Linked DNA regions of Xenopus tropicalis. The protein of the gene in region 1 interacts with the protein of each later gene in a biochemical or structural test. Links are inferred from orthologs where the notes say so. Each region holds a gene or a part of one and is shown in the gene's direction. Other genes may lie near its edges. The genes, in order: adrb2, magi3 and grk6.

The links.
Region 2: the proteins of adrb2 (region 1) and magi3 form a complex in vitro, tested with the Homo sapiens proteins (2 studies listed by IntAct, with this or other methods). The link is inferred for Xenopus tropicalis from reciprocal best matches to the Homo sapiens genes ADRB2 and MAGI3.
Region 3: the proteins of adrb2 (region 1) and grk6 form a complex in vitro, tested with the Homo sapiens proteins (2 studies listed by BioGRID, with this or other methods). The link is inferred for Xenopus tropicalis from reciprocal best matches to the Homo sapiens genes ADRB2 and GRK6.

What each region holds. Positions count from the first base shown.
Region 1 is NC_030679.2:41,024,951-41,032,883, reverse strand, and holds adrb2 (beta-2 adrenergic receptor), read left to right. Parts: upstream 1-2,578; 5' UTR 2,579-2,788; coding exon 2,789-4,048; 3' UTR 4,049-5,779; downstream 5,780-7,933. UniProt on the Homo sapiens protein: Beta-adrenergic receptors mediate the catecholamine-induced activation of adenylate cyclase through the action of G proteins. The beta-2-adrenergic receptor binds epinephrine with an approximately 30-fold greater affinity than it does norepinephrine.
Region 2 is NC_030678.2:62,335,346-62,343,178, forward strand, and holds part of magi3 (membrane-associated guanylate kinase, WW and PDZ domain-containing protein 3), read left to right. Parts: intron 1-1,631; coding exon 1,632-1,751; intron 1,752-2,360; coding exon 2,361-2,573; intron 2,574-4,799; coding exon 4,800-4,971; intron 4,972-6,228; coding exon 6,229-6,308; intron 6,309-7,833.
Region 3 is NC_030679.2:45,789,783-45,797,615, forward strand, and holds part of grk6 (G protein-coupled receptor kinase 6), read left to right. Parts: intron 1-601; coding exon 602-639; intron 640-1,634; coding exon 1,635-1,724; intron 1,725-1,804; coding exon 1,805-2,013; intron 2,014-5,452; coding exon 5,453-5,590; intron 5,591-5,784; coding exon 5,785-5,922; intron 5,923-6,005; coding exon 6,006-6,140; intron 6,141-7,833.

The sequences.
Region 1 (7,933 bases):
ATGCTTTCACTATGGACATTTTACTGGTTTGATATATGTTAGTTCCTTATGAATGGGTATGATATACAGTACTGTACTTGTCACAAAGGTCAAGGAGTTACCAGCCCCTAAAAAGCATAGGAATTTTTATTTATTATTTTAACTCAGTTGCCCAACTTGCCCAGTAGAAAGTTGGCAATGATGCTGTAAAATACTATAACGCCTCACTAGTTACACCTAAAGCTGTACTTGTATCCTGCTGTTTTCCATCAAAGGCTGAATTGATAATCCCACAGGATGTTATAGGATTCTGGGATTTGTAATAAAGATAGGCTACAAGCCTCCTAATCTCACAGACTGAAGATCCATGTGTATATTTACAAACCCAGGATAAAATTCTTAATTGGCATACAAATCCACTAATTTGGGGTTTCTTAACCCTTTTCTCAGAGACCCTGGATAAGTCTGGGAGTTGGCTTTCATGTATTTTAATTACTACAGGTTCGGAATATAAAAAAAAAAACACTTTATATGAATTGCCACTGGCTATTGCAGGAAGAAATGCCATCTTGTCAATAGCAGTAATGTAACCAGATGCAAACTTTTACACCTCTCCGCCTTTTACACATACTCTTCCACCGTTCTCACTGCTTGGTATGCCTCCTTGACTTATTAAAGCTGGGCTGAACTTGCTGCCCCCTAAATAGTTCTGCCACTGGTTAAAGAGGATCACATGGACTAAATGGCATAGAGACCACATTATATAAAATGATAATGCAAGACAGAAGGCTATGATATTTTATTTATACATTAAAATGGTATATATCTTATGCACAATGGTAAAAAGCAACAGAGAAACAACATGGTACAAGACGCAGAGACATTACAGTAAGGAGGCTGAAATGGAGCCAAAAAACCCTGCCATTGCAATAAATTAATTAAATGTGTACTTACAACAAGAGTTACTCACTTTCCCCCTGCTATTCCCATAGCATTGTACTGTACACATAAGTTACAGCTGCCTGCTGGCTGATTCTCATCGGTTGTTATCGGCAGAGCTTTGGGGGATTCAAAAAAGGGTGACTTCCAGGGTCCATCTTTTGTCCACCACCAAGCCGGACTGGAGGCAGGAAGTGCTGCTTATAGTAGGGGGAGTAAAGCAAGATGAGCCTTTTTTTTGCTATTAAACTCCCAGCACCCAATGACCGTTGAATACGGGGGGGAATTCTTTAGTGTTCTGGGACCTGTAGTTCAACAACAGCTGAAAGGCCTGCCGAGTGAGTTTTTTGGGCCACATCACCACAAAAGCTACTACGGCAATGGGGTGATCTAAGTAGCCCCTTGCCCCCCTGGTACCACTAATATGTGCCAAAAGCAAAACTCTCACTTAATAATTACCTAGGTGGCAAGTTATTTCAGTACACTCACATACAATATAGCAGCTCTATTTTCTCTGTACTTTTTGCAAGTTTACTCTGCACTGAAGAAGAATTTGAACATATCTTTTATGACAGCTGTAGATACAATTACTATACATAGTCCGAAGGTTTATTGCCGACTTCTTTTCTTCCCATACATACAGTATATGCCCATGGGCTCTGCTCTTGGCTGCAGTGCAACAATTAGAAGAAAGCAGAGGTGCAACAATTAGCAGTATGGGGCCACCATAGTCTTCACCCTCCCTGCTCTGATTATTGCTTTGCCCTTGGGAATGGGTTAGCTGGTTGCAGCATGCCTTCATAGCTGCAACTCTGTACATAAATTACAGTTCTGACTGTTTTTAGTGTTTAAATGATTGACGTTGTTTCCTATTCTGTTCACTGCCCTTACCCATTAGCGCATAGTGCCACAATAGCCTCTGCAATGCAGAATAGGTGTTGCACAGATATCAGATACACTGGGCAAAAGAATGACAAGAAATAAATCATAAATAAAATACAAGTAGTAGCTGGTTATGTGACGCTTAAGGGTGAAGACACACAGAGCTACTAGTATATATACTAAAGTAGACAATGCTGATCATTTACTGATAATTGGCTGTACCTGTGTTTTAGCAGAGGCAATTCTCAGTATTGTCCATGGGAGGGTATTTTCTGGCGTTTAGTAGCTGTGAAAAAGAAGCTGCGACTAGTAGCTCTGTGTGTCTTCACCCTAAAGCAGGGGGATATGTAACACAAGCTATCCAACTAATCAATGGTGGGAATTGTACCTAAACATCAAACTTTGGACATAGCTAAACATCTGCCAATCGCAGAAAGAGTCCAGTAATGTCCAGTCAGCCCCAGTAGCTGTAGAATTCGAACTCTCGGGGGATACCAGGGGCTGTACTTGTACATCAGCAACTGATTAGATGCACTGCCGTGCAACTTCGAGCCCACCCTGCTTAAAGCCTGTAAGTGGCACCGTTTGATCCGCCGTGCAGTATAGCGCAGTATAGCGCAGCTAACTATTAGCGCAGGCAACTTCCGAAAGGAAAAGAGAAAGGCAGCGACCAGCCGGTGTTACGCGGTATCCCGCTCTTGCTCTCCGGGGATTGGCTGGAGCCCGTTGTGACGTAAGGGCGGGTGTTAATAAAAGAAAGCAGGCGAGCCCACAGCCCAGAATCAGAAGAGACTCTCAGGAGAGAGAGGTAGTTCCATGTCTAACGCCCCACAAACAGGACGGGCACAAATGAACGACACCGGGCAACTCCGCCTCCCCCATGGCTAAATGCGCTGGATATACGCGGGGCAGGAGTACTTTCAGCGCTGCGTGTCACACCCAACCGACTCCTAACAAGTGGAAGTAAAGTCAAAGGGACTGCAAAGCTATGGAACAGCGGGTCACCGCCAGCCCCTACCCTAACAGCACCCTCGAACAGCTGGTCTCCAACGTCTCCAACACTAGCAACGCCAGCGATAAGCCCGGGGATGCGTGGATGGTGGGCATGGGCATAATCATGTCTTGCATCGTGTTGGTGATTGTGCTCGGCAACGTGTTGGTGATCACTGCCATAGCCAAGTTCCAGAGGCTGCAGACGGTCACCAACTACTTCATCACGTCTTTAGCCTGTGCGGACCTGCTGATGGGGCTGATAGTGGTGCCCTTCGGAGCGAGTTCCATCATCCTGGACACTTGGGTTTTCAATAACTTCTGGTGCGAGTTCTGGACATCAGTGGATATCCTTTGCGTCACTGCCAGCATAGAGACCCTTTGCGTCATTGCAGTGGATAGGTACTTCGCCATTACCTCTCCATTCAGGTATCAGAGCCTCCTGACCAAGTGCAAAGCCAGGATTGTCATCCTGCTGGTGTGGGTGGTGTCCACACTTACCTCTTTCCTCCCCATCTACATGCACTGGTATAGGATAGAGGAGGAGAGTGCCTTGCATTGCTATGATGACCCCTCCTGTTGTTTTTTCTTCACCAACCCTGCTTATGCCATCTCCTCTTCCATCATCTCCTTCTACTTACCTCTGGTGGTCATGATTTTTGTCTACGCAAGGGTCTTCCAGGAGGCCAAAAAACAACTAAAGAAAATAGACAAAAGCGAGGGAAGGTTCCACAACCAGAATAACCAACAGGACACCAATGGTAAGCAAGGAAATAAAAGGACCTCAAAGTTTTGGTTGAAGGAGCACAAGGCACTGAAGACTTTGGGGATAATAATGGGCACTTTTACTTTGTGTTGGCTCCCCTTTTTTATAGTCAACATTGTCCAGGTGATGCACAAAGACTTTATCCCTGTCAAAGTTTACAACTTCTTGAACTGGGTGGGATATGTCAACTCTGCCTTTAACCCGTTAATCTACTGCAGGAGCCCAGATTTCAGATACACTTTTCAGGAGCTGCTGTGCTTAAGGAAACCGGGCTCCAAAGCCTATGCCAATGGGTACCCCCAGAGCAATGGGAACAGTGCATACAACGAAGACACAGAACCTTGTCAGTATTCTAAAGACAGGACTTGTGAAGTTTTATTTAAAGAGGAGAAAACTCCCAATCCCTCCCTTTTGAACTGTGAAGGTACTCTTCTAGATTTTAGCTTGGAACCACTGGGCAAGAATCATAACACGCATGATTGCTTATTATAGGATTGTCGATTTTTTTTTAATATTTGAACTATTACAACAAACTGGATTATTGCAATACAAGGGTCAACCAGATATCCGAATGTATAATACAAAGGAAAATGTTTTTATATGTATATTATATATGTATATTTTGCAGAAGGGCAGTGCCCATGTCTTGCAGAATGTATAAATTTATTATGAGAAAATGTACATTTCTGTCTATTTTCAGTTCCTCTTAAATTAAGGTAAGAGATCTTTTGTTATAATGTAATGGCTTTTATATTTTTATGTTGCTGCCCTGTGTACTTTACTGAAGAAAAATCTACCTCAAACCCTTAAAAAAAAATTGAATTCTAAGTTCAAGAATTCTGAAACTTAAAAAAAAAAAATCTTGCTTTTTCCCCCCTTTTCTACCCCTTAATAATACAAAAAACAGCTGCTGTTGGCGGAAGGGACAGGGTTAATTCTACTTTCCTTGAGATAGCTCTCCTGAGTAATGATGGGGTTAATGTGCTGAGCTTAATATTTTGAACTTTTGAAATTGCAAAAGTTGGGTTGTGAGAGATAGGAAAACGTATATTCTGTATAAGACTGATGAAAACTGTGTGTTGCAACCAGGAGAGACCCTTGGGGGTCATTCAGCATAGGTGCAAAAAGGCACAATTGCAGTAACCTATAGCAACCAGCTTTGGTTGGTCGTGTTTTGCAAGCTGCTGTGAAACCATGTAAAATAATATCAGAATAGTTGCTATAGTTACCACCATTGTGTACTTTTGCACCTGTAAATAAATTCTTTTTTTTCATGGTTTCTCAGGGAGGAAATGCAGTAAAAAAAAAAAAAAAAGTCGCAGAGCTAACTCAATACATTTCCAGCCACCCTTTTAGGTTTGTGCCAATCTTTGCATTCCCCTTTAACCCCTCTGTTGCAGGTTGGAAAGTGGCACTTTTTATAAGCAATTTGACATTTGCAGTGACTGTCACGTATACTGGAGCCTCTAACCAAAAGTGTATTTTAAGGATAGAAGGGTTAAAGGTCTAACTTAGTTCATCTAATTTTAGCAGTGAAGTCCAAAGTTGAGTGGAGGACCCATCCCCTTCTTGATGGCAAACTAATCTGTTTTTTCGGTGAGCCCAGCCTCCTAGATCCCTATTTGCGAGATAAATGAGTCCTTGTCTCCTAGATGGGGCAGAACAGATGTTCCTACTGCTGTTCTGTAGTGTCTGATCTCTGGCTGAAACCAAGTCCTGTCAGGGTAATTAATCAGTTATCTCTGGGTTATGAGCAAAATATGGGGCTTTCCAGATGTGACTGCACTACAGTGCTCAGCAGTTGCCCATGACAGTGGTAGGATTCTGAGAGTTGTAGTTCAGCAGCACTTAAAGACAAGCTTGCGGGTTGTTTCCTCTTGTCTCTTCAATGATTCTACTCAGTATAGATTTAATGGGGTATGTTTAGGCATAAACTAGGAAACCACAGACGAAGGAAGTAAAGCAGAGGCTCATTCATAAATAAGAATATAAAAACAAAATAGTTGATAGGCTACAGACACAGGACATTACAAATTATTATGGTCTATCACTTTAATACGCCCTGCTGGACAGGCTGAGTTCTCCCTATCGCACAAGGCATGTCTGTTCCATACATTTCCTCTGCGCAGCTCACAGGGTCACTAGCAGATCAGCTCTTTTGCACATTTCCAAGCCTTACAGTATTGTATGTTGCTCTTATTAAAGGTCATTGTGCTATTTATTAATCTGGCTTGTGTTTGTGTGTTCCCCCACCCCCTCTCTTGTTTTTTAGAGATTTGCAGATAAGAATTGCCTAAAACATTAGTGTGTTTACCGTTCAGCGATCACAAAATACTGTTGACCTTTATGCATTTAAGGTGATTCTCAAAGGAGATCAATATATGTTCAGCAGTAGGGTTACCATATGTCAGAGTGCATGCTACTTGACATGTTATCAATAGGGGAACGCACGGCATTCCTTAAGCGCTAGGTTGGTTTGGTCGCTGAGTAGGAAATACTAGTGACTTAGGAAAAGATTTACTCTCAGCAGCCTCAGATTCCTATAGCGGTCACAGGGCTCCTACGGAAGCTGCTGCATAGTGCAATTTATTTTTAGTGTTATGGAGTAGTCTAATGAGTGCATATTAGGCTGGCTGTTTAAAGAAAGTAGTAAAAGAAAATAACCCATTCCCTGGTGGTTGGATCGGAGTATCCTTGTGCTGTCAAAGCCTGACATGAACCAGAACAGGTGCAAGTCATACTGACTCAAGCCGGGAGCACAGGGAGCGTCAGCCCCTTCAGTGCAATGCACAGTTAAAATTGCCTGAATTTTCTTATTTAGTGGATTATTGTGGTGCACACTTCTGTGTGCCAGCAGAAAGGTTGCATAGGTGAAAATGGCCCGAAGTGTGTTCATTTTGTTACTCCAGGGATTTTACTTGTAGCCCTTATGTGGTTGTTGAACTAGAACCAATGGTCCCTTTCATCTCTTGGGGGTTGTAGGAAGTTGCAGTTTAAATAGAGCTATAGGATTGCTGGCAGGGCATTCGTAAGCTTATAATGAAATTAATGCATGACAGAGCTGGGGAATAACATGCACATTCAGTGTAAAACGTAAAAAGGAGGTCCCTTGGGTGCCAGAACTTAGACCTGTGTTACCTCTTGATTGCTGACACTGGGGGGTATGAAGCCATTTGCAGTAGGTAGTAGATAAATACTTAGACTTGATATTTCTAGCATGCAGCCCGCATACTGGTGAATGACAACTCTCAGAACATTGTTTTTCTCCAGAGAGAACCTACTGATGAAGGGTCTTAGCCTGAGCCTTTTTCAGTATTTGGAAATCCCTTGCCTAAACTGAGACACCCATGCCCTCCGTATTATCAGAGAGATAATGATTCAGCTCAGCCAGTTTAACACTTAGCTGCAAGTTTAACAGCCTGGCAAGTATGTTTTACATACGTTTTTTGGGTTACCAACTACTTCCAAGCAAGCAGGAAAGGAGTTAAGAGTTAATAGAACTGGTACTAAAATGGCAAAAAGTATTTAATGGCTTATCAAATCCAGCCACTTGTCATTATCTCACAGAAAATGCAGTTAAAGGGAATCTCCACCCAAAAACTGTTTTCTTTTGTAAATAATGAAAACAACTTTCCAAAATACATTAATGAAACTTCTGCAATGACTTTATTCTGTTCAGTTCTCTGGTTCTGACTTCTGTGTGTTTATACTGTATTCTCTGCATTAATGGTTTTGACTCCTGAAACAATGTGGCAGAAGCCAGGTCTGCTCCAGCTCTTTTAATCAGCTGGCTATTAAGTGAATATAAACACACAGACTGATACCACTTTCAGTTGCAGTTATGCTTACAATTTAATTTAAAACCACTGGGAAAAATACTCTTCTATGACATCTGCTTGTTCATTTGGGCAGAAAAATTGAATATACACTATCTAATCTTCCACATATAAATATAAATGTTTTATATTTTTTACACAGACATACATGATTCCTCAGACTGAAAGGAAACCACCATAGTCTCTGAATCACAGGGACCCCACCTCCTTAGAAAGTCATTCAACCCCTTCCTTACCTGAAGTGATATATAATTTGGGTAGTTCAGATAGTGTTTATTTTTTAAATAAGCCCTGCCAAAAGAGCTCATGTCAAAGGGGGTTATTTTCCTATTTAATTTATATTTAATGTGTCTGAAACCAATTTATTTGGGAATCCCATGAAGAGAGTGTCAGAGGAGAGGGAAACCTGTGTGTTGTTGCATTGCGGCTACTTGAAGGCAAATCCATGAAACTGTTGATGTAAATAAAGTAAATCCCTGATCAAATATATGGCAGCTCTGCAGCTTAGGGCACGACTGCTTACAGATACATAAACACAATA
Region 2 (7,833 bases), on another chromosome or scaffold:
CTACAGTCTGAAGACTTACACAGTAGCTAGAAATTGTTGATATGATATTCTGTACAAGGCCACTACTGTCCTTTAGCAGTGAAGGTCTGTGCCCTTGCAGTGCCTTTTGCTTATGGTCGACTATGAAGGTGTGAATTACTTTTATAGGGCTGCTGCACCCCTTGGCTGGAACAGTAATCTGTATATATGCTGAATTTCTTTTTAAGGTTGTTAAAAATTACCTTTGGTTATAAGGTATACAGTTATATTATAAATAGGTGATATTTTGTTGTGATTAGTGACCCTGATAAAATTTAAATGCAGTTTAGATACCAGCAGGAGGTAAATAATTAAAAAACGTTAAATTAAGACTTTAGGAAGTTGCTAAAAATAGGATGAGTTATAATATAATACATCATAATATAGAGGTGAAGTTGCCCTTAAGCTGTACGGAAACCTTGCTGCAACCTTAACTTTATTTCCCATGGACTCCTTGCGCAACTCTGAGCCAGAGGGCTGCCTAACTGGTTATAAACACCTGTGAATTAACCTATCCTTGTCTTTAAATAAAAACAACAGTACGTTTATTATTACATTTTCCAAAGTCCAAAATACAATTTAAAAAAAGATAACAATCTCCTCTGAATATAACCTGGCTCACCCTCATGCTTTAGTCAATCACAGGACAATGCCATATGGGGCAAAATTACCCATGCTCATGAATTACTCATGAAGAATACTGTGTGTTTTTTTAGTGTTACTACATTATTAGATAAAAATCCTGGAGGTGTCGTCCCTACTTTAAAAATCTTTAAACCAAAAAATAGTGTCAAAATGCTTCTGATCAATCAATATATCATATTTAATTAATGTATTAAAAAGCTTAAAGGGATTCTGTCATGATTTTTATGGTGCACTTTTTATTTGTAAATTACACTGTTTAATTCACTCTACCATTTAAAATTGTATTCTTGATCCAACAAATGCATTTTTTTTAGTTCTAATATTGGTATTTAGGGAGCCATGTCAGGCTCACAATCATGCTTTAGTGTATCACAGGGCAATGTCATTTGGGGCAAAATTAATAAACATTCTCTTCCATTGAGCTCTGAAATTAGCACAAGGATGTAAAACCATTTTATTTTTACTGACATGTTTGCAGCAATTGGTATGCTGTGCTCTAGAAGGGAGTTCTTTATTTTGTTAGTTTACTTTTGAATTCTCCATAATATCTTTATTCCAAATATAAAGTCTCCATGTGTTACATCATTGATTCACAAAAACAGATACTTTCCTGGTGTGTATTGTTTGTATCATTTGTAGGGGGCTATTCATATTTTGGGGTTTAAATTTAGTACAAATTGTATTAATAGAAATATACAGGTTTAATGAGCTTTCTTACTTTTAGGTGTTTGTTGCCATGCATAAAAATGCTAACAATAGGGCTCATTTATAAACGACATGCAAAGTGCACTAATTGGACATCTATCTTTGTCAATGCTGATCCCCTCACCCCACCCAGAATTTCAGCATGATAACAAGCACCCATCACAGGGTAAAACATTACACAAACCCCACCCCCCCATCTGTTTTTTAATTAACTGACTTGGAATGAATGAAATTTAAATTATCTCTTGCTTATTCCTGTTTAGGTACCACAAGGTCCCCGCGAGATGGTGAAGTTCCTGGAGTAGATTATAATTTTATTTCCGTTGAACAGTTTAAGGCTTTAGAGGACAGCGGAGTGTTGCTGGAAAGTGGAACATATGATGGTGTGTATACAGCCAATGCTATTTTGATATCTTGATCAGAGAGTTGGCTTACTTAATATTCCTCATTTATTATTTTATTTTAATTAGTCATAAATGGATCTTTACTTTTTATTGTTTTAATACATTTTTTTCTGTGTAATGTCAACAAATATTAAAATCTGTATAGAGTAAAATATTAGTTTTTTATTTATTATATGTTGGGTTCATCTCCTCTCCCTCCTGAAGCCGTGCACAGGAATCCTTTCATGGCTGGCCGATCAGAAACGAACAGTGCTGCTCCGCATTTCGAAGGGCAGGGAAGCAAGAGCAGGGTTGTTTCTTACTGAGATTAGCCTCAATGATAAATAAACAAATGAAACAACCCTGCTGTGCTACCCTGCCCTCCAAATGCGGAGCAGCACCATTCATTTCTGGCTGGCCGTTTTTTTAAAGGATCGGTACAAGATTTCCAATTAAAGTACATTGCAAATATGCTTTTTTTTAGGTATAGAAGCAGCAATGTTGCTCTTTTGCCTTTACATGCCCTTTAACTTGAAAGCTGAGTAGATTTTTACATCTTTATACATGCTTCTTTATCATGGCCGATAAAAAGTTATTTTAAATGTACAGGTAATTTCTATGGAACCCCTAAACCACCTGCAGAACCAAATCCTTTCCAGGCAGACCCTGTGGATCAGGTCTTATTTGATGGTGAATTTGACACAGAAACCCAGAGAAAAAGGACTACATCAGTCAGCAAAATGCAGCGCACAGACTCTTCTCTCCCAGAAGAAGAAGATGAAGAGGAAAGAGAGGCAGTAAATGGCAGTAGTGGAAGCACAGGTCAGCCTAAAATTGTGTTTGGTGTTATGACAGCATGAATTATTAAAAGTAGAACCTTTTTGAGAATATAACTTGGGCACAGAATGGATTAGGTCTGCAGTGATATCATATGCATACCTCACCGCACAATAACTTCTTAATCCAATGAAAAGTATGAGGATGATACTTGAAACTTGAGAAGACACACTCTTTTTGTTTGTTTAAAGGGGATATATTGTTTAAAAAACAGAATGTGCCAGTGCATTATACTTCTCTAAATATAAATGAGAAAGAAAGGTAAATACAAAGTAAGCTTTATCAGAAAGGTCTATGTAAATACAGCCATATGCACTCACAGAAACGCTGCACTGACTTCTCTGGCACAGGAATTACAGACACAACTAATCTTTTTTCAGAGACATGCAGCTTTCTGTTCTCTGCTCTTTCCTGCTCCCCCCTCCCTCAAGAATGCTAAGAACTCACTCCTCCCCCCCTTAGGAATGTGGATCTGAGCCAATCAGCAGGAAGCTGACTCACAGTCTTACTAACTGAGCATGTTCAGTTTGGTCTGCATGTCTGTGCAGGAGTGAGGCATTATGTGAACTTGCTTTACACAGCTCAGCGTTTTTTCTTCCTGTTTGGCATCAGATCTTCTGAACAGGTGAAATATGGGGAGACTTAAGGGCACTATTGAGACAACTGAAGGTATGCCTGCAGGCTACTTAGCAGATAACGGGTAAAACACCATTGTACGTTACAGAACTTATCTGTTATCTGCCATGTAACCTGCGCCTTTTTTTCAGCTTGAATGGCTGCCCCTGTGGCTACACAGCAGCGTATTTATATAAACTACAGCAGTATTTCTGAAGGAAAGACACAACTTTTACCAGAGCAGTACATTGTTTAATAATTACTTTAAAACACTTTAATTTTTTGGTGTTACTGTTCCTTTAAAAAATATGTTTCCGGCTAATTTAATGAAGATTCTTTAAAACCCCTAAACTCCCTGCTCCCTCCTTTCCCAGACTGTGTACAATAGCTGGAGGCACTCAGCACACTGCACCGTAGGATAGGAGCCAATCAGCAGCTAGGCAGACCAGATAGGGAACTAAAGGTGGCCATACACGGGCCGACTATAGCTGCCGATATCGGTCCCTTGGACCGATTCGGCAGCTAATCGGCCCGTGTATGGGGAGAGCAGAGCGGCCTGGCCGACCGATATCTGGCCTGAGAATGGCCAGATCTCGATCGGCCAGGTTAGAAAATCTGACTGCCCCATTGCCGCCCACATAATCCGATCGTTTGGCCCCAGGGCCAAACGATCGGATTATTATTTTTTTTACCTAAATGGTCCCCGATATCGCCCGCCCGTAGGTGGGGATATCGGGGGAAGATCCGCTCGCTTGGCGACATCGCCAAGCGAGCGGATCTGCTCGTGTATGGCCACCTTAAAGCCTGTCTTTGTTTGTGTGACTGCAGGGCTGTGATTGGGCTATCCCTCTTCTACTGTGCTTCAGGCAGGGACTGCTAGGGCACACCCATGCCTCATTTGAAGTAATAAAGGTGCCATTTTTAAAGATAATGATTATTTTTAGCCCAGAGTGAAACCAGCACCATATATTATTCATTATAGCCTACAAGATTTTTCCCCTGCTTATCATGTATGTCTCCTTTAATAGGGCTAGGTGTTCTTTGGTTCTACCACACCTGTTTTAGTTATTTACTGAGCTGAATACAGTGCAGAATACAAAGTGATCAACACAACATATGCAGATATCTAAAATGTGAGCATGCTAAAAAGCTGTTTTTTTCTGGCAGATTGCAAAATATAGAGATTTCAATCCCATCAAAAATTATATTGTTTAAAGTAATTTAAACATACTGCTGTCTTTTACTGGTAAAACTGCTATTTGCTATGTAACCTGTGCTATTTATCCCCATTTTAACTTGACTGGCTAGCCACATGGCTACACAGCAGCTTATTTATATAACCTATTGTAGTGTTTCTGTAGCAGACACAAAAATATCTGTAATCATGAGCCCCTAAAAGAATGTGCTTGTGATATGTGGGGATTTTGTGTTTCAGGCTTGCTGTAGAGAAACTAGATGCGGTTTCATATTTTTGTTTTTAATAGAAAAAATATATTAAAAAAATAGTTTTTTCTTTTATTAAATTAAACCTTTAACTGGGGTTTGTTTTTTTCATGCCAGTCACTGTTTATGTTTCTGTTATTTTCATTTTACCAGACCATAGAGACAGACAGGAACCATCAGAATGGGGAAAGACTGTTCCGAGCTACAACCAAACTAATAGCTCTATGGATTTCAGGAACTACCTAACTCGGGATGAAAACCTGGAGCCCCTTCCAAAGAACTGGGAAATGGCTTACACTGAAGCAGGAATGATCTATTTTATAGAGTAAGCAAATTATTCTTTAATGATGATTAAACCAGAGATTTCGGGCTGATGCTCTTGTTCGCTGAGAACTGGCCTGGACTGCTAATGTAGAATCGCCACAGTGGCACTCCTTTAGTTGTACCGGTCAGTGCAGTTTTTATCAAATAGAAGCACAGCCCAAAGGTATTAGTTAAATAATTATAATTACTAGGGAGTGTAAAAGGATCTTCCATAAACACAGTTGTCCAAGTATTGTATTTGAGGGAGCAATTGGGAAGTTTATCTAAAACATAACCGCCCCCCATGTAACAAAAGCCGCAAAGGTGTAGTAACCCATAGCATCTAATAAGATATTTGCTTTTAAACAGGTGACCAGTAAATGTTACTTGCTGATTGGTTGTCATTGGAACTGTAGCAAACTTTGCACCTTATGTTACATGTGTTGTTTGCAGTGTAACACATTATGTGCATGCACTTCTCAATTTTTTTCTAGAAAAGAATATGTAACCATTCTAGAATTCTTGAAATTAGTAGTAAATAAGAGCTTGCATTTTTAAATAGGTTGCACACCTTTAAATTATATTTTAGGTTAATGTAGACATTACATTTCTGAAACAATTTGCATTTTTTGTGGGTTTTTTTTTAATTATTTAGCTTTTTAGTCAGCAGATGTCCAGTATGGAATTCACCTGGTTGCTGTGGTCATGCAGTGGTTTTAATGACTTACTGTAAGATCAATAGGAGAGGGCCTAAACAGAAAAATAATGAATAAAAAGTAGCAATAAAAATAAAATTTTAACCTCACAGAGCAATAGATTTTGGTTGTTAGGGTAAGTGTTTCCCATTTAAGACCAATTAAATAGCTGCTAAGAATAGGACATTCTAATTTATAACATACAAAAGGTTTGCCAGATATTTCACTTGCTAAGTACGTTATGCACAAAGCTATTTTAACTATTAGTGTTCAATATTCATGTAATTGGAAGAACTTTTAGACTTCTTGTAGATGGTGCCCTGGGTAGAATCAATATTGCTAACTACTGTATCTTAAATATTTGAATCTCATATATAGTTATTTTGTTTGCTATAGCCAATAATATATATAGCAAGGCTTTATGAAACCAAAAATTGGTTTGAACTTAAAAAGATATCTAATAATCTTTGTATTTGTGTTTGTTTGTAGAAATTGTTTCCTTTTTTCTCTATTGCACAACAGTCAGTTGTTTTATTTCTTGATTTAATTCACTAATAAAATCAGTTGCTTTTTATTTCTTTTAGTCACAATACAAAAACAACCACGTGGCTAGATCCTCGACTGTGTAAGAAAGCTAAAGCCCCAGAAGACTGTGAGGATGGAGGTAAGAGGAGAGAGCAGCAAAACCATATAAAGGACTATGATATTTTCATGTTTTCATGTCTTTAAAGGGAAAAGAAAGTCAAAGTCACTTGGGGGTGCCAAAATGTTAGGCACCCCCAAGTGACTTTGACCACCTACCTTTTACCCCGGGCTGGTGCCCCTGTGAGGAGGGAACAGCACCAGCCCGGGGTAGCTGCCGGCGCTTCCTTCCTCTTGTTTCGCTGCGCGCGCATGCGCAGTAGAGAGAAAAGCCGAACTTAAACATTAAAGTCGGCTTTTCACTCTACTGCGCATGCGCCCACGGCTGGCATTCAGGAAGAGGAAGCCAGAACACGGAAGCGCTGCGCTCCAGGTGCCCCGGGCTGGTGCTGTTTTCTCCCAACAGGGGCACCAGCCCGGGGTACGAGGTAAGCGGTTAAAGTCACTTGGGGGTGCCTAACATTTTGGCACCCCCAAGTGACTTTACCTTTCGTTTCCCTTTAATAATTTACTGTTACAGTAATTTACTTTTTTTTTTTTTTTTTAATATTGTAGGGAAAGATAATCATTATTTATAAAGTGCAAAAATATACAGCGGTGCTTTACAGAGATTCAACATTATTCACATCAGTACCTGTGGCAGGGACTGTGAATTTAAAGTCCCTATCATATCACATATCACTGACATATCAGTCAGTTCTTATGTGTCATTATATTATAATTGATATAATAGTGGGTACCATTCGACATTCTGCAGAGAAATGTAGCAACTAATGTAGCAAGTTGTAACAGTTCTAAACCTGAACCTGGCCTGAGAGGCCAGACTGAAACACCAGGGAGTGGAACAGCAAAGTTTAAGTAGGTTAAATAAAAAGTTATTTCTGATGTACGATCTGAAAACAACTAAACTTTGCTTTTGCAATTTATTTTGATACATTTTCAGAACATCAATTGTTATAATGAAGGTCCATATGTTTTGGAAATGTTTCTGGTCATTTCAATTGGTACAGGTACAGTTCCATGCAAGAATCTCCAGAAATACCCATAAAATACAAAGGTGAATTAGGTTGTACAGATTGTTTGATAATTTGTTTATACAATGATAAATATGCCCATAAACATATATGGATAGAGAGCTTGTCAGGAAGAGTGTATGTTAAACAGCATCCTGACTAAAATTGGGTGTGCCACAGAGTTTTGTACCATGGCTGCTATGGTTTGTTTATTAGGGACTTAAAGGACATGTGAAGCCTATATTTGCCTACAATGTATATCAGTTGGGCATGCCTCCCCCACCCAAATGGCATCAGTTGTACTGCATAGATACCCTCTGCTTGCTAACACCATCACATTTTTCTAAAGCAAATAGCAGCTAGAGCTGAGTTTCTATGGGAACCAGCAATGTCATCTCTTTACTGGCTGCTAGACTGGAGGGCTTGTTTAGTAATCTGAGCTTAGAACAACTGAGCATGTCTGCCAAGCCAGAAATCAAAGCAAATTCCCAAGGGGGGGGGACCGAGTGGGTTACAGTAGGAGAAGGAAAAGTA
Region 3 (7,833 bases), about 4.8 Mb from region 1:
TGAGGCTGGCTGGTCTTCTGCTGTTGCTTCCCTAGTTGTTCCTCCTGTTGCTCCTCTTGTTGAACTCCTTGTTAAACTCCTTTTCCAGTTCACTTGTGAATTATTCACTTTGGAAGGATTCACTTGTGCGCTGCTACCCTAGCGCTGCTATCCCAAATGAGGTTCTTAAGATATAGGGAGAGCAAGCTGGGTCACTCCTGAACACAGGACTGGGGAATCAGGACTGATACTGTTTTCCAGAATGTTCAGGACCTGGAGTTTTCCATAATTTGGATCTCCATACCTTAAGTCTACCAAAAAATGATTTAAACATTAAATAAACACAATAGGATTGTTTTGCCTCCAAAACGTATTAATGATATCTTAGTTAGAATCAAATACAAGGTACAGGTTATTATAACAGAGCAAAAGGAAATAATTTTGAAAAATGTGAATTATTTGATTAAAATGAAGTCTTATGGCAGTGGCCTTCCCATAATTAAGAGCTTTCTGGATAACGACTTTCCGGATAACTGATCCCATACATATATATTTATTTATGTTAATGAAAATGCACGGGAGAAAAAAGTAAGAATTTGGTTTCTATTTTCTTTATGAACAGAGATCTCAAGCCAGAAAATATTTTGCTCGATGATGACGGTATGTATTCTCATCTGTGTGTAAGCAACACTTTGTGAGAATTATTGTTGTTTTTTTATTTTTTAACACTTTTCCTTTATTTTTTATTTGCCTGCTGGAAGTGGTAAGAAGTGAATCTGTAACTTATTTCCTTTTGCTTACCAGCCCCCATTTTTACTGACCACAACCTTCCTTATCCCCTAAAAGCAGTGGTACAAATGGGCGTAGGTCTGAGAGTAGGGGAACAAAATATTAAAAATCTTGCACCCCTACCACCCTTTAACTTAAATGGCAGTAGCCTGGAAAGCATCTTGAGTAACAATAGCCTATCAAAGAGCGTACCAATGCTTTTAGACATTTGTCTGGACAGTAGTCTTCTCAGTGCACTTTCACTTGGACCAATGGTGAATCAAATCCATTTTATGTGCTTACCACCTCATAGAAGAGTTTGATTAGAGATCTTTATAAAAGAGTTTCTCCCTTCTCCTTGCTGCAACCAATGTTTCAGGGTTACAGATAAGGAATTGTTCATTCTTCAGGGGGTTTTACAGACTGACAGTTTAGATTAACTCCTATTTCCCCCTCACATAACTGCTTGTATTATTGTAAAATAATTATTTTTGCAAACTTTTAGATATACGTCTGAATACATTTCTTGTTAATATGACACTTGCTAATCATTAGATTTATTGAGTGGTCCTTTTAGCAGGGCAGAGTAGTGCATTTGTCACAGTGAGTTGTAACACTCAGTAAAAGACCTAACATGCTCATAACTATCCTATTAGTGGTGAGAGAGAGAGAAGAACTTTCTAATAATGTAGCTGTTCTTTCTTGGTGGCCTTTCCTGTTACTGTCTCTAAAGCAAAAGACAAATGTGTTTGTTCCATTAAGTGATGTGATGTATGGTTCACTTTAATATATGTGCCTGTGGTGTGACACTGTTACACCATTTTCATGCTACTTGGTCCATTCTGTCACTTCAACTGATATTAAAATGTTCTCAATGTCTTAAACAGGACATATAAGAATCTCAGATCTTGGACTTGCAGTACATATTCCAGAAGATCAAACTATTAAGGGAAGAGTAGGGACTGTTGGATATATGGGTGAGTGTGCCTTAACACGAGCCACAATAATAATAACCAAGCAGTGTGAACACTGAGACCTATTTCTTTTCCTTATACAGCTCCAGAGGTGGTGAGAAATGAGAGATACACCTTCAGCCCAGATTGGTGGGCACTTGGGTGTCTGCTATATGAGATGATTGAGGGCCAATCCCCTTTCCAGCAAAGAAAAAGAAAGATAAAACGGGAAGAGGTTGAGAGGCTGGTAAAGGAAGGGCAAGAAGAGTATTCTGCAAAGTTTTCACCTGATGCCCAATCTTTATGCAAAATGGTGAGTGCGTTCCTTAGAGCTAACGTAAAAAAAAAACTACTCTTCCAAAAATGAGTCTGTTTAGAAAAATGTAATGTGTGTGTGTAATGCACCTTTTATGTGTTTGGATTCTGTACCAGGTAAAAGCCACCACTGCTCCTCAACATTTAAAAGGCACCGATCACCCTCAAATTACTTCCCCAACCACAGATGCGGGCTAATCCACCACTCCTATGTCACACAAATGCATATAATGAGCCAGATGGTAAGATGGCCTCTTGCACCGGGAACTCCCACCCGGGGCAGGTGGCCAAGTGCTGGCGGGGGCTGTATTATTTCTTAAAAACGATTGTTTCCCCAAGCGGAGAGCCGGCACCTCTGGCGGGGAAAGCAATTTTATTATAAGTGCTCTTTAAGAGTTCTTATATCTCCACTGTAGATTCAGCTTCTATGGCAGAAGTAATGTCATTTTCTCTTTATCGTTTGATGATATCCAACAGCCCCTACGTCTACAGCTGCCCAACATTTTGGATCAGTAACATTACAAGGTTTCTTCACAGTTGCTGCTGTTTCCCAGCATGTAGCATGTTGTTTCTCTTGTTTCTGTGTATGTCTATATGCACCCACTCCTTATATTAAGCATCACGGTGCATTATCCATCTCCGTTATTGGCAGCATTGAGGTTTCCGGTGGTTTTCAGTAAAGAAGGAAGAGTGACAATCACAGGCAAAGCAGCCACCATGTAGTCTCATCCGTGTGAATGAATGCAGTCCAGTTGCGCATTTGTAGCTATGGCTTTAAACTGCTTCATTTTTATATACGTTGTAACAGTTATAATTGTGTAAAACCATTTTTAGCACGCCAAGAGAATTTCTGAGTAAGCAGTGCATGATCTACAGGGCAACTAACGTGATTCACTTTTCCTTGGGTTTTAACCCACTACACTAACTACAGGGCCGTATGTGTAAAGTTAAAAGAAAATGCAAACTGATCATAATCAAGGGACGGTTTTGAGCTCTTTGGTGTATTTCATGGCGGTTTGATGGAGAGGTACCTGGTTCCTTAATACTTTGCATCAGTAATTGCTGTTTTCTTCTTATCTGCAAGTTTTTGTTGGCATGGATGTGTTCTATCTTTGATACACAATGGCAGTAAGTAGAGAAAATCACCCAGTATTGTAAGCTCAGTGCTGCCAGCAAATGAATAGAAGTTTAGACAGGAGAAAACAGCCAGTCTATAATTTCCTGTTTGGCATGAGACAAAATATCTTCCGTAGAATTTCTGTGCTCTCTTTTAACGTTTGTATGGCTGGAATTTTGTTAGATTTCCTCTAATGGTTGTCAGGCAAATACCGTGCCTTTGCAGTATTCTTTTCTTGTCTTGTAACCTAGAATTAAAATTGATTTTATTAGAATTTCTTTCCATTCACTCAAAATACTTGACACTTTGAAGGTGCAAAATACAAAAGTTCATCAAACAAAAAGTCCATACTTGGCAGATCTACCTTTGGCTACAATTACACCCACAGGCCTATTGGGTTAAGTGCATAGCAGGTTTCATACAGTTCAGGAGGGATATTGGCCTATACTTCCAGAGTGATTTGCCCCAAGTTAGTTGGATGACTCCAATGTTTGAAGCAACTTGTGTTTCATATAATTGTCCTGCTGAATAGGAGCTGCCTCCCCAGACTTTGTTTCAGTCAGCTATAAAACTGCTTCTTTTGCAGTATTTTACCTGTTTTTTGCATTATGCATTTTTCCTTGTGTTTTAAGATGCCCAGTTCTGGCTGCTGCTGATGTCCCCCACAGCATGATGCTGCCACTTTTCTATATGTATGGGTCAACCATATCCCAAATTTTGTACAGTGGCCTGTAAATTAGGGTGGCACAGGAGAAGCCATTGCTCAGAAAGAACCGTGTCAGAGTTAGTCAGCAAGCAAAGAGAGAGTGACCCCGTTGCAGTGTGGTCAGATGAGACCAACACGGAGCATTCTGAGTACATTTCTAAGCAATATTGCAAATTTACCTCTGCCCACACATAAAACAACATACCTATAAGAAGTATTTAACCATCTAAAAATTAAAAAAAAGTGTTTATAATGTATTGGATACCTCTTGATGAGAGCATAGGTAGATATGATTTAATAAGCAATACGTGATTTTCTAAACAACACAATGATTTTGCGGTCAGAATGGGATTTTTTTGAGTTTGGCTGCGAGTCTCCATAGGAGAGCACAGAATTCTGTAAGTGGCACCACACTTTTAAATCTGTCAAAACTAACAAGAGTTATAAATGGGGGACGCACCACGGCAGCTGGAAAACCAATCATGTGTCTTCCCTGTGTGACAGCTGGAAAGTGACCAGCCAGCAACCCTGGGGTTTTTCAATTGTTGAATTCTGCAAAGTCCAAGGCTACATACAAACAGCAGCTACCTGTACCTGAAAGGAACATTCAAGATGCACTGCACTGTGATTGGATGCAGTAATAAATTCAGGTTTAGAATATATTGAGAATGTGAAAGATCCTAAAGAATTTCAGATGGGGAAATATGTCTTTGTACCCTCAACTAGCAAACAGTCAATCTTTGCTAAATGTTTGTTCCCATAATTTCCACAACTCAAAATTTAATTCTATTTTTTGAAACTTTTTAAAAAGCTCTAACTCCATTTTGTTACTATGGAGTAGAAAGATTTAGTTATTACATTTGAATGCTTTGGAATATCTACTTGTACCAAACATAAATGGGGATTCTTTACTTTTTTTGAGACATCTTAATTCAAATTTGCCATAGGAATCTTACCCCCCATTTAGTTACTGATGGAGGAAACGTCTCCTGGCTCTCTTGCTGCTCTTTCTGTTCCTCCTGTCAGATGGTTTAATCCAACAAGTTTGTGAGAGAGAGCACTGGGCAGAGAAATCAGTAATTTAACCATGGGGTGGTTGGCCAGACAGAAAAGTAGGGGTGTTCCTGCAAATTCATGATAGCAGAGTAGAAGAGCTTTTTGAGCAAGTTTACATTGATTCGTCTGGGGTTATTTACTACCATTTTAAGGTTTACAAAAAATTGTAGCCACCCCAGAAGCATTGCTTTGCTACAAGCAGGAATTGGTGCTAGTTATAAACTCCAAAGTACCTTTTATTATTAGGTCAATGGCTCACAGCACCAGTAATGGAAAATTCTCACCAGGGCATTTTTTGGGTACTGTAAAGAAATGTTTCCATTGAAGTGAATAGGAGGCAGCATGGGTATTTTCAGAAAACTGCCTGTATACCTAAACCCATACAGAGAAAGAGCAAATCAGTCAGATGTGTAGAATTCATTCATTTTAGTCGGACACAAGAAATTGGCATTTCTGAGGTAATGTAGTTCCTGCTAAAAGCTATTATACCTGTAGTTGGGAATCAGCTTTGCTTGCTTTTCTTTAACTCTGAGTTGAATATTTTGCTTCTTACTACAGTTACTTTTGAAAGACCCCAGTGAGCGCCTAGGGTGCCATGGAAGAGGCGCTCAGGAGGTGAAGGAGCATCCCCTCTTTAAGCAGATAAACTTTAAGCGTCTTGAAGCTGGGATACTGGAGCCCCCCTTCAAACCTGATGTAAGTTACATACCACATCTCTCCGTGCAAATACTATAGGGTAGTAAGTATATTGTTTGCCTAGAGCTTATTTCATGGCAATTAAGGGGTCAGGGGGCTATAGACAAATTCATTAATAATTATACAGTCAACTGTTAATATTTAATGCACAACTGAAAGTCATATTTGTAATAACATCTGAAATCTATTTTCAGCCTCAAGCTATTTACTGTAAGGATGTCTTGGATATAGAGCAGTTCTCTACAGTAAAGGGCGTTGATCTGGAGCAGACAGACAATGACTTCTACCGAAAATTTGCCACAGGCAATATCTGCATTCCCTGGCAGAATGAGGTGTGTAAGAGACATGCATGGGAGGATGGAATCATTGCTCAGTCAGTGTACAGTGAATCTATATCTATATATGCCTTGTTTAGATGGTGGATACAGACTGTTTTTGGGAGCTAAGCGCACTGCCCACAGATGGAAGCATACCACCTGACCTGGATTGGAGGGGGCTACCATCCCCACAACCCAAAAAGGGACTACTTCAGCGTTTCTTTAGCAGACAGGTAATAATAAAGGGCTTTCGTCTAAAAGAATTCCAGTTAAGGCTGATTATTATTTACATGTATTTATAAAGAACTAACATATCCTATAGAGATGTGCAATAAATAGAGTATAGTATACAGGGAACAAGTGGGCCCTTTTTCAAAAGATCTTACAATCAAAAAGATCTGATTATTTGGCCTTAAGTCCAATGATCAGATCAAACTGTTGACCTGTAAAGACTTGTTGGAATTTTCTGACTTGTGCCAAATGACCTATTTTGGCTCCCAGGACCACCCATCACTGTTCTTTGTACATCAATAGTGCACTTTTTTATCTATAGTTTTAGGAGGGATGCAGATGGGGCAGGTCCTCCACTGTTTTCTGCTGGGCCCTGTGTGCCACTTCTCTAATGTCACATAAAGTAGGAGAACACTTTTAAAGACTGTATAAGTAATAAATGGCATTATAAAAAGGGGTAGTTATGAAAGGAATGTATACCATTAAAGCCAATGTATCTTGGTTTAAGTAAAACTAATAACTAAGCCGCTCATATATTTTAATCTCTCTTGAATTTTAGATTCATTATTTGCTGTTTTCTATGGTAAAACAATGATCATATAGCTTCTCAGCAAGAAAAAAAGACAGCTTATCCTGAACATGCTTTGTAAAGTACTATTGCACAATTTAATTGCACTCTTTGTAGGGGTTATTAACCACTGCTACTGGTGCAAGTACAAAATTACTATAGAGATACATGGAGCACTTATGCCAATGGCAAAGGTTAGTTCAGACTAAGCTTTGCACCTTGAGTGTGATTAATAAATTAGGTGCAAGTTAAAGAGTACGTTGCTGCAAAGGGAACCTGTAATTACATCTCTTCCCAGCACCTTGTAGCCTCTGGCTTTGCACAGGGCTTCCCTTGCTACCCCTCTGTATGCAGCACTGCCCAATACATTGAGGCACCAGTGAGAAGGGGGCAAAAACAAAGTAATTCATATACATTTTTCTGGTGTTTTAATGTAGCTATGAATGTCAACCTCAAGAAGGGAAATCCTGGGAAAATAGTTTAATGTCTAGCCTAGTGTTTTGCTACATTAGTTTTGTGCAACCCCAAATTTCCAGTAAAACTGGTACTCTAGGTTTGCAGAGATCTATTTTCTGTAGTCCCATTTTAATACCGCCAAACATCTCATGTCATCTACCAAAGCTGCCCTTACACAGCAATAAGTGCATCTGTTCTAATGAGGGCTGCTCATTTCCCCGCATCCTGTCAGTATCCTCACTGCCCAGCCCAATATCCCACTGGTACCTTACATCCTCCCAGCAGTGCAGTGCTTTGCCTCAGTCTTTGCAAATTTGCCATCTTAACAGCTAATCTTTGTGTATGCTCAGCTGCCTCCAGGGTGGAGCATCATTGTGAGAGGAACCCTTAAGTTCTGGGGATTTTAACTGCAGAGTTGCACATCTCAGATGTGTCAGGTAAAATGTTTTTCTGTTCTTTCCCTGCTTTTCTGCCCATGCATAATATCAGATTTTGGTTTGTTACACAAAAAGCCTTTTCAGTGTATGTAGAATCTTTCCATTGGTCATTTAAAAAGAACAGTATGAACTGGAAAGACTATAAGAAGGGCATGGGAGCAAAGCCAAATTCAGTTTGTTCAATAGAAATACCTCATTAAAATGTACAGGTATATTGTATGTCAGTGGGACCTT